Drosophila melanogaster: one gene and its partner. Each later gene encodes a partner of the first gene's protein in a complex. Each region holds a gene or a part of one and is shown on either strand. Other genes may lie near its edges. A codon is read from its position in the direction of its gene.

The links.
Region 2: the proteins of sbr (region 1) and Nxt1 are in contact, whole or in part, in a crystal structure (PDB 6IHJ), measured with the Drosophila melanogaster proteins. Residues at the interface, in NP_524660.1 of Drosophila melanogaster: Leu359, Leu360, Glu361, Thr362, Lys363, Ala364, Ser365, Tyr366, Met404, Leu405, Ser406, Ile407, Ser408, Met409, Pro410, Gln414, Arg426, Asn427, Leu428, Arg429, Arg438, Thr439, Leu442, Tyr444, Thr467, Val468, Asp469, Thr471, Ile472, Met477; in NP_611833.1 of Drosophila melanogaster: Met1 (codon at 1,712), Leu5 (codon at 1,781), Val9 (codon at 1,793), Glu10 (codon at 1,796), Ala13 (codon at 1,805), Asp17 (codon at 1,817), Arg21 (codon at 1,829), Thr43 (codon at 1,965), Ser45 (codon at 1,971), Trp46 (codon at 1,974), Asn47 (codon at 1,977), Gly48 (codon at 1,980), Asn49 (codon at 1,983), Gly50 (codon at 1,986), Ile52 (codon at 1,992), Tyr60 (codon at 2,016), Leu64 (codon at 2,028), Leu71 (codon at 2,049), Asn72 (codon at 2,052), Thr73 (codon at 2,055), Leu74 (codon at 2,058), Asp75 (codon at 2,061), Ala76 (codon at 2,064), Gln77 (codon at 2,067), Pro78 (codon at 2,070), Ile79 (codon at 2,073), Val80 (codon at 2,076), Asp81 (codon at 2,079), Leu91 (codon at 2,109), Met93 (codon at 2,115).

The regions. Positions count from the first base shown.
Region 1 is NC_004354.4:10,842,985-10,851,196, reverse strand, and holds the start of sbr (small bristles), read left to right. Parts: upstream 1-4,104; 5' UTR 4,105-4,608; coding exon 4,609-4,705; intron 4,706-4,769; coding exon 4,770-4,930; intron 4,931-4,997; coding exon 4,998-5,090; intron 5,091-6,115; exon of another isoform or gene 6,116-6,277; coding exon of another isoform or gene 6,278-8,092; exon of another isoform or gene 8,093-8,212. Other genes in the region: CG2202 (uncharacterized protein), read right to left, coding at 1-136, 224-1,163, 1,222-2,302; Pgls (6-phosphogluconolactonase), read right to left, coding at 2,716-2,832, 2,952-3,427, 3,559-3,697; CG32669 (uncharacterized protein), read left to right, coding at 6,278-8,092. UniProt on the Drosophila melanogaster protein: Mediates the export of the majority of mRNAs from the nucleus to the cytoplasm. In ovarian follicle cells, plays a role in transposable element silencing regulation by enabling the nuclear export of flamenco (flam) transcripts and subsequent piRNA biogenesis.
Region 2 is NT_033778.4:23,807,583-23,813,658, reverse strand, and holds Nxt1 (NTF2-related export protein 1), read left to right. Parts: upstream 1-1,684; 5' UTR 1,685-1,711; coding exon 1,712-1,720; intron 1,721-1,777; coding exon 1,778-1,864; intron 1,865-1,921; coding exon of another isoform or gene 1,922-1,934; coding exon 1,935-2,240; 3' UTR 2,241-2,332; downstream 2,333-6,076. Other genes in the region: pippin, read left to right, coding at 154-1,233; CG5543 (uncharacterized protein), read right to left, coding at 2,333-4,300; Ssrp (structure specific recognition protein), read left to right, coding at 4,796-4,849, 4,927-6,076.

The DNA of each region.
Region 1 (8,212 bases):
GAAGCTCTTGGGACACTGGTCGCACTTGTACGGCCGCTCGCCGGTGTGCGTGCGCATGTGGATCGTTAGATTGTACGCGCGGTGGAAGCTCTTGCCGCAAGTATTGCACAGATTAGGTTTGGTGCCCGTGTGGTAACTGCAAGTCCAGGCAAAAATCGTTTAGGAAACAAAAAAAGAAAAAACAGCGGATAGCAACAGTGGGGATAGTGGATTCATCACTTACCGCTCATGGACCTTGAGATCGGTGGCACGGGGAAAGGCTTTGACACAGAAGCGGCACTTGTAGGGCTTCTCACCGTTGTGGCGTCGCATATGCACGCGGAGGTAGTCGTTGCGGGCAAAGCTGTCGCCGCAGATGCAGCACAGGAAGTTCCGCTGCCCGGTGTGGGTCTTTTCGTGCTCCCTCAGCTGCGCTCGCTCGCGGAATGTCTCGTCGCAAGTCTTGCAGGCGTAAAGGAAGTCGGTGTGCAGCAGAGTGTGCTTGCGTAGATAGGTCTTACTGGAGAAGCGCTTGGAGCAGTACTCACAAGTGTGCTCCGCCAGCTGCAGCTTCAGTTCGCTGCCCGGCTCCAGGCCCTCACCGTTGTGTTTGCTGACCTTGTGACGCTCCAAGGCGTCCAGGCGCGAGAAGGCGGCCTCACAGAGCGAACACTTGTGCTCCTTGTTGCTGTGTAGGCTCTGCACATGCGCCTTGAGGTGGTCGCTGCGCGCGAACGCCTTGGGGCAGTGCGGGCAGTTGTGGGGCTTCTTCTCCAGGTGCGACAGCTTGTGGCGCAGCAGGTGGCAGTGGCGCGAGAAGGTGCGCTGGCACACCTCGCAGCGGTTATCGGGATTGGGCTCGTCCTTGTTGCGCCGCCGTCGCCGCCTGCCGGACTTGGCCTTCTTCAGCGGCTTTTCGCCATCCAGCGGCTCCTGTTTCAACCGGAATTCTCCGTCATCATCATCCCCAGCGTCCTCCTCGTCGTCGTCGTCGTCATCATCGTCAAGGTCACTGTCATCGTCTGCAAAACCATCGAACCGCTCCTCATCGCTAAGCGGCAGCTCTCCGCTGACATGGAGCTTCATGAAGTCTTCCACTCCCATTGGCGCCTCGTCATCGCTGCCCACAAGTTGATTCTCTTCCTTAATGCTGAACTGAGAGTCGCCGATGGCAATGTGTTCGTCTGAAGAATGATAAATGGGTTCTACATTTCTCTGTTTATCTAAGCATACCACACTTACTCTTCACAGTCCGATCGATGGAAGTTTCCGCTTGAGCTTCTGCCTTCTCCCGCCGTCGACGCTTCTTCTCGAGCTTTAGCTGCATGGCCAGGTCGACTTCTTCCGCCTCCAGGCAGGGTTCCGGCTTGATGTGCAGCCACAGCGTTTGATTGGCCCCATTGGCTTCTTCGCCATCATCTTCGTTACTGGAAATGGGATTCGTATTGCACTGAAAGGCTTCCCCAACGACTTCATCTTCGTTATCCTCCTCGTTTAACAGCACCTCCGCAGAGACCAGCTCATCTCCGCCATCGCTGTTCATAGTATTCTCGTCCGCCGGCGGCCAGGTGCGCAAAAGATCCTCCTCCACATCCCGGTGCTGATTGCGTATGTGGCGCAGCAAATGATCCCGCCGGCTAAAGGTGCGTTGGCAATGGGCGCACTGTAGACGTGCGGTCTGCTCGTGGCTGCGCGCCAAATGGCTGCGCAGCTGTCGGAGATGCGGGAAATGCTGCGGACAAAATTTGCACTTAAAATCCTCGGATGGCAGGCCATCTGTGCCAGCCGACGTGGCCTCCTTGGTCGTTCTGTGCACCTGGTTGCGGTGCAGCCTGAGCTCCAGGCTGTTGAGGAACTGGTCGTGGCACATTTCGCATGGCAGCAAGGCCACCTGATCCGTCTGACTGGCCGCCTCGGCTCCTCGCGCCTTCAGCTGGGGCGACCGGCCCAGCAATGCGACCAGCGAGCAGTAGGAACGCTCCGCGTGCCGCTTGAAGCGGTAGGCGTTGCGGGCCGCCTCCACGCAGGAGCTGCACATATGTGGGGGCATGCCGTCGTTTCGCTCGCACTGGTGCAGGGTGCACTCGTCCAGGATGCGGGCCAGATTTGCGTCCTGCTCGACGGGCGTTTCGTTGAAGATGAAGTGTAGCTCCCCCTCCAACGATACATCCTTTAGGCACACGCGGCAGACGCGCTCCGCGTCCACGGTGTCCATTGTGGTCAGGGGCTCTAACTGGGAAACCAACTTGCTGACCGCCGGCTCAGTTTGCGCCTCCTGGCACGAACCCAACTCCAGCTGCGGCTGCGGCTGTGGCGTTGCCATGGCTGTTGCGCGTCCTTCGATCTTTGCTATTGCATGTGGGCATCGACAATTAGCACAATTGCTGCTGAATTTTCATAATTTTTCTTTTATTTTAACAATACGAAGCGTTTGTTGTGCTCGCGAGTGCCGTCATACTGGGTGCGCCATTTGTTGTGTTACCGAGTTCGGCCACACTGCGTAAATATCGATATTTTTCATGTTGCCGATAGCTTTTTTAAACCAGATTTGCATTTTACAAACATTTTCTAAACATTAAATAAATATATAAAGAAATTCAAAAATAATTGTAAAATCACAATATTTGGAGTGTTTATTTATTTTCTCCAACCTTAATAGCTCAACAAATTAAACGCTCTCGAAAAGATTATCAAGGTAATTATTATTTACAAGATGCGATAGTTAACTAAGGAATGTCATTTTAAGGTTTCAATTTCTTTTCCAGCACCCGCGTCCACAATCAATGTCAACTGCCCTTTGGTCGGATTCACCCACGCAGCGGGAAACTTCTTGTCCAGATCGACAAACACACTCTAAAAAATATAATAACAACAAAAATAAACCTTACAAATGAAGTTTTTGAATTGTGGTTAAAAATATCAGATTTCTTGCTCATATTCTTTTCCATCTTATCAAGCTAAAGAGACCTCACCTTGACGACACTGGCTTTTGCGGCGCCCGTAACCACGAAGGCGACATTCCGTGCCTTATTGATCAGCGGCAGGGTGAAAGTGATCCGCTCGGGAGGCGGCTTGGGCGAGTTCCGGATGGGGATAACCAGGCGCTTGGTCTCCTGCAGGGTGGCTGGCTGCTCGGGAAAGAGGGAGCAGGTGTGGCCATCGGGTCCCATGCCAAGCAGCAGCAGATCGAAGCGATCGACTTGACTTTTGACCTTCGCCTCGTAATCTGCGGCGCAGGCGTCCAGCGGTTGGCTGGTATCGGCGCGGACGAACTGGGATTCCTGGATGCAGGGCAATTGGGTTAGCCACTCGGCCCTGTAGGCACCATAGGTGGAATCGCTGTCATCCAGGCGAACATACCGCTCGTCACAGAAGAAAAACACCCATTTGGCCGTTTTTAAGTTGCACGATTTCAGGGCTTTCGTTAGCAACTGGACGAGGGAACCACCTGTAAGCGAAACAAGACACTTGACTTTGGGAGCACAAGTTTAAAGATCGCACCTGGCAAGGTCACCCCTCAAGTTTGGCTTATCACAAGCCAACCCACTTGACCTGCATGACCTGTGCGTTGATCCTTACCCGAAAGTCCCACGCTGAACTTATCATGTTTGGCCAGCGCCTCCTGGGAGCAGCGCTGGAGAAGATCGCCCAGGGCCTGGACAAGTTGCTCCTCCGAAGCGGACGGGATTACTTTTAGCGCACCCTTTTTCTCCGACATATTGCTTGATCTGATAATAAAACTCGACTCGACTTCGATTTGTCAGTAATCACCATTCCCTCTCTCAACTATCGATTACCAATTTATGAAATACATTGCACCGTTTGCGACAAAATGAAAGTAAGTAAATCTTATACGAAAACATTTCACTACCTCTATTCGTAAAATAACAACTTATTTGATATTGAGCAAAAAAGGAGTGTGTACGTGTGTGCTACAACTATATAATATTTAAAGTAAGAATGAGGTAACTCTCTTCAAAACAGTCCAATAAAATAATATTGCATTCTAAAGTTTAACTGCAACAAAACAAAAAATAGCCAATAATCTTTAGATTTATCGCGGTTGTTCTGCGCTAGAGTGTCATCACTGATTACGACCTGTGCGATAGTTGGCCCGCCATCATCGATAGACCTGTCAGAAATTAAGAAAACAATATCAACATCAAGCGAATATACTTCGCTCGCTACATATTTCTAGTTAGTTTTCGTAACTTTTTCGCTTTGGTGGCAATTAAATCAAATTTCCTCGAAGAATAACTTGTAAAAAGGTCGCAAACATCCGTCCAGTTTCTGCCAACCATCGGCCACTGGCTATCGAAAGAAGATCGCTAGTGAATTAAATTTCACAAAATTGCGTTGTACTTTGGCCGTGGAAATTTGCCAAAAAACAGCAGCTACTTTGCTGCTATATTAGCAAATAGGTTCAGGAAGTCGAGAAAAATTTTTCCAGAAGTTGGCAGCAGTTTGTGTGAATGCAAAAAATACATCGCACATAGTTTTTTGCCCTCAAGACAGTTTTCTCAGTAATAACAACAGCACCCACACAAACACACAACACCACTCAGCTAAAAACGTGCTGAAATTCGCATATCTTTTTGTTGCATACGTTTTTGAGTGAATATTAGTAAGATGCCCAAACGCGGCGGTGGCAGTAGCCAGCGGTACAACAACAACGTTGGAAATGGCGGCGGACGTTACAACGCTCCCGAGGATTTCGATGATTTTGGTCAGTACACGGGAGTGCAAGAAAATGAACCCTCCAGTAACCTAAATATAATGTATTCCTATAGATGTGGAGGATCGCCAGCGACGCAAGGATCGAAACAAGCGGCGCGTCAGCTTTAAGCCCTCCCAATGTCTACATAACAAAAAGGACATCAAGCTGCGACCCGAAGATTTGCGTCGATGGGACGAGGATGATGACATGAGCGACATGACCACGGCCGTTAAGGTGCCCACCAACCCCACATGTTATCCCTATGCACATTTCTAATCTAATGTATAATTAATTCCAACAGGATAGACCCACCTCCCGACGTCGGGGATCGCCCATTCCGCGCGGCAAGTTCGGCAAACTGATGCCCAACAGCTTTGGCTGGTACCAAGTCACGGTGAGTTTGGACTACCATGTCATATAGATATCATAGCCGCAATGGCCCAGACCAAAATCATGTGATTTAATAGTAGTTTTATTACTAAGCTAAAGAAGCAAAAGCATTCAGTCCTCCAGCACCTGTTAGATTTATAACGTTCGCCATTATACAAATTAATCGACTGTTCTACTGGATGGCTCTTCTTATGCGAAGTACATATATGTTAAATGTAGTTTTAAGTATTTAGATTACTAACGTCACATAAAACTTCCAGAAGTTTGCTCCAGTGCTCTACTAATTTCCCGCCCCTACATAGAACTACAAACCCCAGACTGGTCCATATAGATACCAGATTTACGACAGCAGTCATAGAACTATTTTTGGTCTCCAAGAACATCATGTGATTCGTCTGATGGCTTTTTTTTTTTGTTATTGGCAAAAGATCGCGTTGAGGGAGCAAAGTATCCGGCAAGAATCGCATAAGTTACAGCGAAATGTTGAGACTTATTTGTTTATTTGTACACTGCTTCCAAAGCTCCAATGCCGACTTGCCGACTGGGCTCTTTGTGTTTATTAATTAATTTCCCTCGTAAAAATCGTAAAGCAAACAAGCCAAAGTTGGGCCGGGGGGATACCAGCTCTACACAGCTAACGACAATCGGGTACTACAATTACAATTGCAATCCGACGAGCGGGCAAATAAATATTTATGGATGGCTAAACACAGTCGTCCACAGTACCAGCCACAAGTGTTTGTCGGCACGAGCTAAAAGTGCAATGAAGTCGAGCCTTTGGTGGTTTGACAGTTGCCATGACCCTCACCTAAATGGTTTCCCATTTTAAGGGCTTGCGGGCCTGCGGTTGGGTTATCCTTCGCCTGGTTGTCACCCTATCCAGCCGCACGTGGTGCAACACAACAGGTCGCTATCTCTCGACGGGGTCGTAAATGCCATAGTAAAATGCCCAATGCTGACTCTCCACCAACAAAAGCTTGCGGTTTCATTCCGTTTGGGCCTTTATTTCATCGACGGCCGGCAGACGGTGAAGACGTGTTCCAACGTCCGACGCCCCATAGAATATATCGCTTGAATCTCAAGAGGCCCGATTAGGGGCAACTTATCAGTTTGGAGTGATTAGATGTGCGACTAGGGTTCCGTCGGGAAAATCAGCCTAACACGTGCCCCACTTAAAACCCGGCATCTGCAATGGCTACTTTGGGCGCCTGGGACTACACGATCCTGGCGGTGGTGCTGATCATCTCCGTTGCGATTGGCATCTACTACCGTTTCGTGGGCGGCAAGCAGAGCACCACCACCGAATATCTTCTGGCGGATCGTTCCATGAACGTGGCGCCTGTGGCCTTTAGCCTGATGGCCAGTTTCATGTCGGCCGTCACCATATTGGGCGTATCCATGGAGAACTACCAGTACGGTACAATGTTCGTCGTGATCAATCTGTCGTATGTGTTGTCCACGCCGGTGGCCGCCTACCTCATCATTCCGGTCTTCTATCGCCTAAAGACGGCCAGTGTGTACGAGTATCTGGAACTGCGGTTTGGCTATGCCACCCGATTGGCCGCCTCGCTGAGCTTCTCGCTCCAGATGGTCCTATACATGGGCATTGTGGTCTATGCGCCGGCTCTGGCCCTGGAAGCTGTCACTGGACTGAGCCAGGTCTTCTCCATCGTAATTGTTGGAGTCGTGTGCACGTTCTATGCGACGCTCGGCGGAATGAAGGCCGTACTCATCACGGACATCTATCAGTCGCTCCTCATGTTCGCCGCTGTCTTCAGTGTAATCATCTGTGCCTGGGTGAAGGCGGGCAGCTTGGAGGTGATATGGCGCGTGGCGCAGGAAAACGGACGCATCAATCTGACCAACTTCAGTGTGGATCCAACGGAACGTCACACTTGGTTCACCCAGATTTTAGGCGGATGTGCCACCTATTTGGCCATCTATGGTGTGAATCAAACGCAGGTCCAGCGCCTGATGGCGGTGAAGAGTTTGAGTGCCGCTCGAGCGGCCCTGTGGTGGTGCCTGCCCATTCTGTGCCTGCTTAGTCTGAGCACCTGTTTCTCCGGTCTGTGCATCTACTGGTACTACCGCGACTGTGACCCGCTGCTGGAGGGTAGAGTCAACTCGCGCGATCAAGTGATGCCGCTCTTTGTCGTGGACACGATGGGCGAATACACCGGTTTGGCTGGCCTCTTCGTTTCGGGAATCTTTTGCGCCAGCCTCTCCACGATTAGTTCGATAATCAGCTCGCTGGCAGCCGTCACCCTGGAGGATTACCTCAAGCCCTTGGTCAGCTGCTGTGCCAAACGCACGCTCACCGACCGTCAGACCTTGTGGTACTCCAAGCTGTTGTCCCTATTCTTCGGAGCCCTCTGCATTGGCATGGCCTTCATGGCGGGATCAATTGGCGGACTACTGCAGGCGGCACTGTCAATCTTCGGCATCATTGGAGGCCCTCTGCTGGGCCTCTTCACGCTGGGCATGTATGTGACCAAGGCGAATGAAAAGGGAGCCATTGGTGGGCTGCTCATATCGCTGGCGTTCTGCTTTTGGATCGGTTTCGGACAACCGAAGCCACCGCTGGTCAGCTTGGATATGTCCACGGCTGGATGTCCGGTGGACAGGAGCTTTGCCCGCGACATTTTCCTCAAGACTGTGATAGCGGTGGCCGAGGAAGAGCATTACTTTTACCTGTACAGGATTAGCTACATGTGGTACGCTGCTTTGGGCTTCCTGATAACCTTCTTTGGCGGATGGCTGTTGTCCTGGCTGTTTGCCCTGCTGAAATGGGACAACAATCGACGCATCTACCAGGATGCGGACTGCACGCTAATCAAGCACGATCTCTTCGTGCCGCCGATAGCCAAACGTTTGCAACGGCGACAAATGCCGCTCCTGGTGGTCACCGGCACCAGTTCGGAGATTGGCGGCATCACGACAGAGAGCGCTACGGCGCCGCCGCGGCTGGACGAGATCGAGTGGGAGAAACACAAGGCAGTGGCGTAACTGAACACATCACCTTAGTAGTTTTTTCTTTTGTTTTTTTTTTGTAGCGCCGTTTTGACCTTAGTTACTCTCCATTAGCTATCACTGCAAGAAATAATAACTTTGCTGTACAATAATACG
Region 2 (6,076 bases), on another chromosome or scaffold:
TTCAAGGTGGTCATGTATCAGAAAGTAATAGTAATAGTATCATTTATATAATTGATGGTCAACGTGGATAAGCTGGATTAGGATTAATGTAGACTTACTATATAAACTTACTATTTTGGCCTTCATTCATTATTTTATTTTACCTTCTCGAAGGTGTACATTGCGGAAACGGCGGAACCCAATCTGCGGAGTCTGCTGATCGGCGCGCCCTATGTGGCCTACTCAAGCGGCATCCTAATGGTCTACTCCCTGGGCTCCATGATGTACTGGCGTAGTGTTGCGTGGTGCGCCAACGTGCTGCCCCTGCTGTCCATGGTGTCTATCTCGTTTATACCGGAGACTCCGGCCTGGCTACTCCGCAATGGCCACGAGAAGCGTGCGCTGCAGGCCCTCTCGTTCCTGCGGGGCAGCGAGATCAGTGCGCAGAAGGAGCTGAATGATATGAAGCAGAGGCTGGCCAAGGAGCGGGTGACCACCAAGACGAACGAGAACATCTTCCAGCTGTGCTGCCAGCGCGTGGCCATCAAGCCGCTGGTCATTGTGATCGTGTTCTCGCTGCTGCAGATGTTCTCCGGCACGTTCATCGTGATCTTCTATGCCGTGGACATGATCTCGGAGTTCGGAGCGGAGTTCGACTCCAAGCAGGCGGCCATTGCGACGGCAGTTGTCCGGGTGATCTGCTGCATGGTCTTCTGCGTAGTCCTGATCTTCGTTCGCCGCCGCAGGATCATGATAGTGTCGGGAATCGGCTCCGGCTTGTTCTGCCTGGTGCTCAGTGTCTATCAGTATGCCAGATTCGATCAACCGAAAATGTCGTACGACGTATTCGTTGGTGCCGGCTGTCTCTTGGGCTACATCATCTTCAACACGGCTCTGATGGTGATGCCCGGCATTATGATCGGCGAGCTCTTCCCGGCTAGGATACGCGGACGGACTGCCGGCGGAGTGTTTGCCTCCATGAACGTCGCTCTGTTCATCTTCGCGAAGAAGTTTCCCGCTTTGCAGGCCATGCTCAAGATGCGCGGCGTGTTCCTGGTCTTCGGCGTGTCCAGTTTCCTGCTCACTGCCTTTATGTGCCTTTTCCAGCCGGAGACGAAGGGCCGCAGCCTGGAGCACATCGAGGACTATTTCAACGGGGACAACTGGCTCTGGTTCCGGCGGGATCGAGGCTACAAGACGGTCAACCTGCAGCCCCTGGAGCCATTGAAGGACACCCGGGGGCTGGAGGCCTAGGTCGGGGGGCTTTAGTCTTAAAACAGGTCTTAGCTTAGCTAGTTTTAGCCATACTCATAGTTCTAGCCGCAGTGCCTCGTAGTCGCCCTAGACTCGCTCGATTTTCCAGTGACCCCCAATGGGCCACTCCGACAGGGAATCTTCAAATGTTAGGTTACCAATTCAAATTGTGATCGCTATGCTTTAAATTGTGTCTAATTGTTAATTAAAATTATGATTAGAAATAAACAACTTGAAAAATAAAAGTCATCATTTGTTTTTCGGGCAATTTGCAGAAAATGTTTGCAATAAACTTGTTTTTAAGTGTTTGAACATCTTGACTTTTTTAAACTTTAAATAAATATTAAGGGTACTCACGTAGATTAGTAGCGTTTTTGTATTTCAAATGGTGGTAGTAATATTTTTGTTTCTTTCTTTCTGGAGAGTTTTTTTCTGACCACCCGAGGACGGTCACTCTAATTCGAGAATCGCGGGAAACATGGACAGCGTGAGTTGAAAATATTTAGTTTTTTAGCAATTTAGCATAGCAACTATTTGTTTAAAGGATTTGAAAGCCAAGGTCGAGAGCTGCGCCCGTACGGCGGATACCTTCACACGCCTGTACTACGCCTCCGTGGACAACCGACGCCAAGTAAGTAGAGATCCGCCTTGAAAGTCTGCATTTCATGGGAAAACGAAACTCAAATAGATTCCACCTGCAGCAAATTGGACGCCTCTATTTGGACAATGCTACGCTTAGCTGGAATGGAAACGGGGCCATCGGCCGCCAGATGATCGAGAGCTACTTTCAGGAGCTGCCATCCTCAAACCACCAGTTGAACACCCTGGACGCGCAGCCTATTGTGGATCAGGCTGTGTCCAACCAGCTGGCCTACCTCATCATGGCCAGCGGCTCCGTCAAGTTCGCAGATCAGCAGTTACGCAAATTTCAGCAGACTTTCATCGTTACCGCCGAGAATGATAAATGGAAGGTCGTCTCCGATTGCTACCGAATGCAGGAGGTCTGAGATCCACACACTTGTATTTTAAGCTAAGCTAAAGTTCTTACGTCGTAACGAGTTTATTAACATATCTAAGCTCTTATAAATAGATTGACTTCCTATTTGTCCGCCTCTGTCTTGGGCTTCTTGGTGGCCGGCTCGTCGGCGGGTAGTTTTTCGGAGAAGATGGCCTTTGGCTGCGTCTGCTTGTAGGCCGGTGCTATCCAGTAAGGATTCTCGGCTGCGTCCTTGGCATACTTCAAGATGGCTTCCCTGGGATCCTGGTCGTCGTCCACCCGCTTGCTCAGGCCCAGATTGCGGATGACATAGGAGGAGAGGGTGCCGCCGGAGCTGGCCACGCGGCCGCCCTGACCGCTGGTGATGGGCAAGTCCGGTCGCTGGGACTTGACAGGATCCATACGGGCCTTCTCCATCCGCTTACGCGAGGTACGGGACTTTTCCTGCCTGAACAATGGCAGGGCGTGCGGCGTAATGATCTGGGAGACTCCCACCATCTCCATGGGCTGCCTCTTGCGATGCGTCTTCACTACGCACAGCTTGGCGCCCCGGATGCTGCGGTGCTCATCGTAATAGCACTTAATGGTTCCATTGCCACAGCTCACGAACAGTTGGTTGAGCTTTGGGTGCCACAGCGTTTTCACCACGTGCGCGTTGGACACGGGAATCCGCTGCACTTCCTCGTAGCTCTTAGTGCTGTAGAAATACAGGTTCGCTTCGGCCTGGCCCTTCGGAAGCGATTCTCCGGTGACTAGCAGACGGTCATCTGGACTAAAGCAGCAATCTGTTGTGTCGTAGCGGGAGAACAGGTTTGTCCAGGTATGCAGCGGCTGTTTGAACTGCCGCAGATCCCAAAGCTTCATGGTCTCGTCGTTGCTGCGAGTGGCCAACTGCTGACCCATGTACGAGAACACAATGGAGGTGATCTCCGAACCCTTCTGATGCGCATCCCTGACGCAGTGCGTGGTGTTCACAAACATCTTGCGCGTGTCCCACGTCTGAATGGAACCATCCACGCAGCCCGCTGCTATGAGTGTGGCGTCCCTGTTAAAGTTGCATGATGCTGCGTTGGTGCGGAGGCCTCCCTGCGCCCTTGTCTTGATCACCTGCAACTGTTCCTTGGACTTCAATCCCTGCCAGATGCGCAGAGTACCGTCGAGAGCTGCGGTCAGGAACTGCTCCCTGTTAAATGGATGCCAGCAGCCGGAGGTCAACTGTGCCACGTGGCCCTTGGTGCGCGACATGTCCGAGATATACTGGTCGCCCTTGCAGCACTCCAGTTTCTCGAATCCATCGCGGTCGAGGACCTTGGCCTGGGCGTTTCCGGAGATGACCAGGATCATGTCGCCGGTCACGGAGTACTGGAGAGAACGTATGGGATGGTTCTCGCACGGCTGCAGTTGCCGGAAGCTACGCATGCTCGAGTCCATGCCGGCGAAATCCCAGAAGCACATATCGTAGTCTATGGAACCAGAGACCAAGCGGGCACCCGAGGGATCGCCAGCCAGGGCAAGGACAGCGCGGGAACCGTGCTGCATCTGCACCTCGTGTGTGTAGGGTATGCGCTTAGCAAGGCTTTGTTCGTCATCTGAATCTTCATCGGACGAATAATCATCGTCATCGGAGTCTTCGTCTTTGGACGATTCCTTCGTGGCTTTCTCCTTGTCTGTGGTCACAGCTGGTGGTAGGGGACCTATTACGTCCTCCTCTTCCTCGTCTTTCTGGTCATCCTCCTTCGGCTTGGACTCCTCCCTTTTTTTGTCCATTCCCGGGCGGGTAACTCTCGCCTTTTCTATCTGCTCGTTGATGTCGAACACCTTGGCCGCCTTGCGACCAAAGCCACTGATGCCCATCACTTCCTTGAGGTGCTGGCTCTCCAGATCTTCGGCCACGTCCTCGATCTGCCGAATCATCTGCTCCTTGTCCATTTTCTTGAATCCTCCGCCATTTCCGCTGGCTTCAGTGGACTCCTTTGCATCTTCCGCCTCGGTTTCGTTGGATCTTGGCTCCGCAGGAGGTACGTTTACATTCAGTTTGATTTTCCCGAAGGAAATTTTACCGCGTTGCATAGTTTTAAGGCCCCACGCTAAGTGGATTTTCAAATTTTTAATTAAAACTATATTTCTCTGAAAATATGCGGTAAATATTTTGTAAACAAGTGAATTAAGTGACCGTTTATATTCGGACTGTCAATTTGGTATTTTAAAAGATCGAGCGAATTGTTATGGTCTTTAAATAAGCTCTGGCTTGCCCATTAAAATTTTTCAATTTAATAATGACTCATATATTGTTCATGTATTGCAAACAAGATATATATAAACAATAAAGGAAACTGCATTGGAATATTAAGAGTTTATATCGATTGCAATTTAAGAATAGTGCACTCAAAAATACTAAACACACATACGGTCACTCTAATATAGCTGACTGGCGTCTAACCTAAAATTAGGCGCGCAGTGTTGTTTTGTGTCTGCCGGAATTATTGTAAATTGGTGACAATTTCGCAAGGCGGCGTAATACATAGTTGATCTATTATCTTGTTACTGGAGAGGAAGAAGTGCAGGATGACAGACTCTCTGGAGTACAACGACATAAACGCCGAAGTGCGCGGAGTCTTGGTGAGTCGCAAAAAAGCCGGCGTATTTTGTCACATTTCGCATGACCGAGGTTTTCCATTTCCCTGCGCGCAAAAAAGTGTTCCGGACGCCTAAAGATGACCGAGCAGAACATCATCTTCAAGAACACCAAGACCGGCAAGGTGGAGCAGATCTCGGCAGAGGACATAGACCTGATCAATTCGCAGAAGTTCGTGGGCACCTGGGGACTGAGGGTGTTCACCAAAGGCGGCGTGCTCCACCGCTTCACCGGATTCCGCGACAGCGAGCACGAGAAGCTGGGCAAGTTTATCAAGGCTGCCTACTCGCAGGAGATGGTCGAGAAGGAGATGTGCGTCAAGGGCTGGAACTGGGGCACCGCCCGCTTCATGGGCTCCGTCCTGAGCTTCGACAAGGAGTCGAAGACCATCTTCGAGGTGCCGCTGTCGCACGTTTCGCAGTGCGTGACCGGCAAGAACGAGGTCACCCTGGAGTTCCACCAAAACGACGATGCGCCCGTGGGTCTACTGGAGATGCGGTTCCACATACCCGCCGTGGAGTCGGCCGAGGAGGATCCGGTAGACAAGTTCCACCAGAACGTAATGAGCAAGGCCTCGGTCATCTCGGCTTCGGGCGAGTCCATCGCCATTTTCAGAGAGATCCAGATCCTCACGCCTCGCGGTCGCTATGACATCAAGATCTTCTCGACCTTCTTCCAGCTGCACGGCAAGACGTTCGACTACAAGATTCCCATGGACTCGGTGCTGCGGCTCTTCATGCTGCCCCACAAAGACAGTCGACAGATGTTCTTTGTGCTCTCCTTGGATCCGCCCATCAAGCAGGGACAAACGCGTTACCACTACCTGGTCCTGCTGTTTGCTCCCGATGAGGAGACCACCATTGAGCTGCCATTCTCGGAAGCCGAGTTGCGAGACAAGTACGAGGGCAAGCTGGAGAAAGAGATCTCCGGGCCGGTGTACGAGGTGATGGGCAAAGTGATGAAGGTGCTGATCGGTCGAAAAATTACCGGACCCGGTAACTTTATCGGACACTCTGGCACGGCTGCAGTGGGCTGCTCGTTCAAGGCTGCAGCTGGATATCTGTATCCCCTGGAGCGAGGATTCATCTATATCCACAAGCCACCGCTGCATATCCGCTTTGAGGAGATTAGTTCTGTGAACTTTGCCCGCAGCGGCGGATCCACGCGATCTTTCGACTTCGAAGTGACGCTCAAGAACGGAACTGTTCACA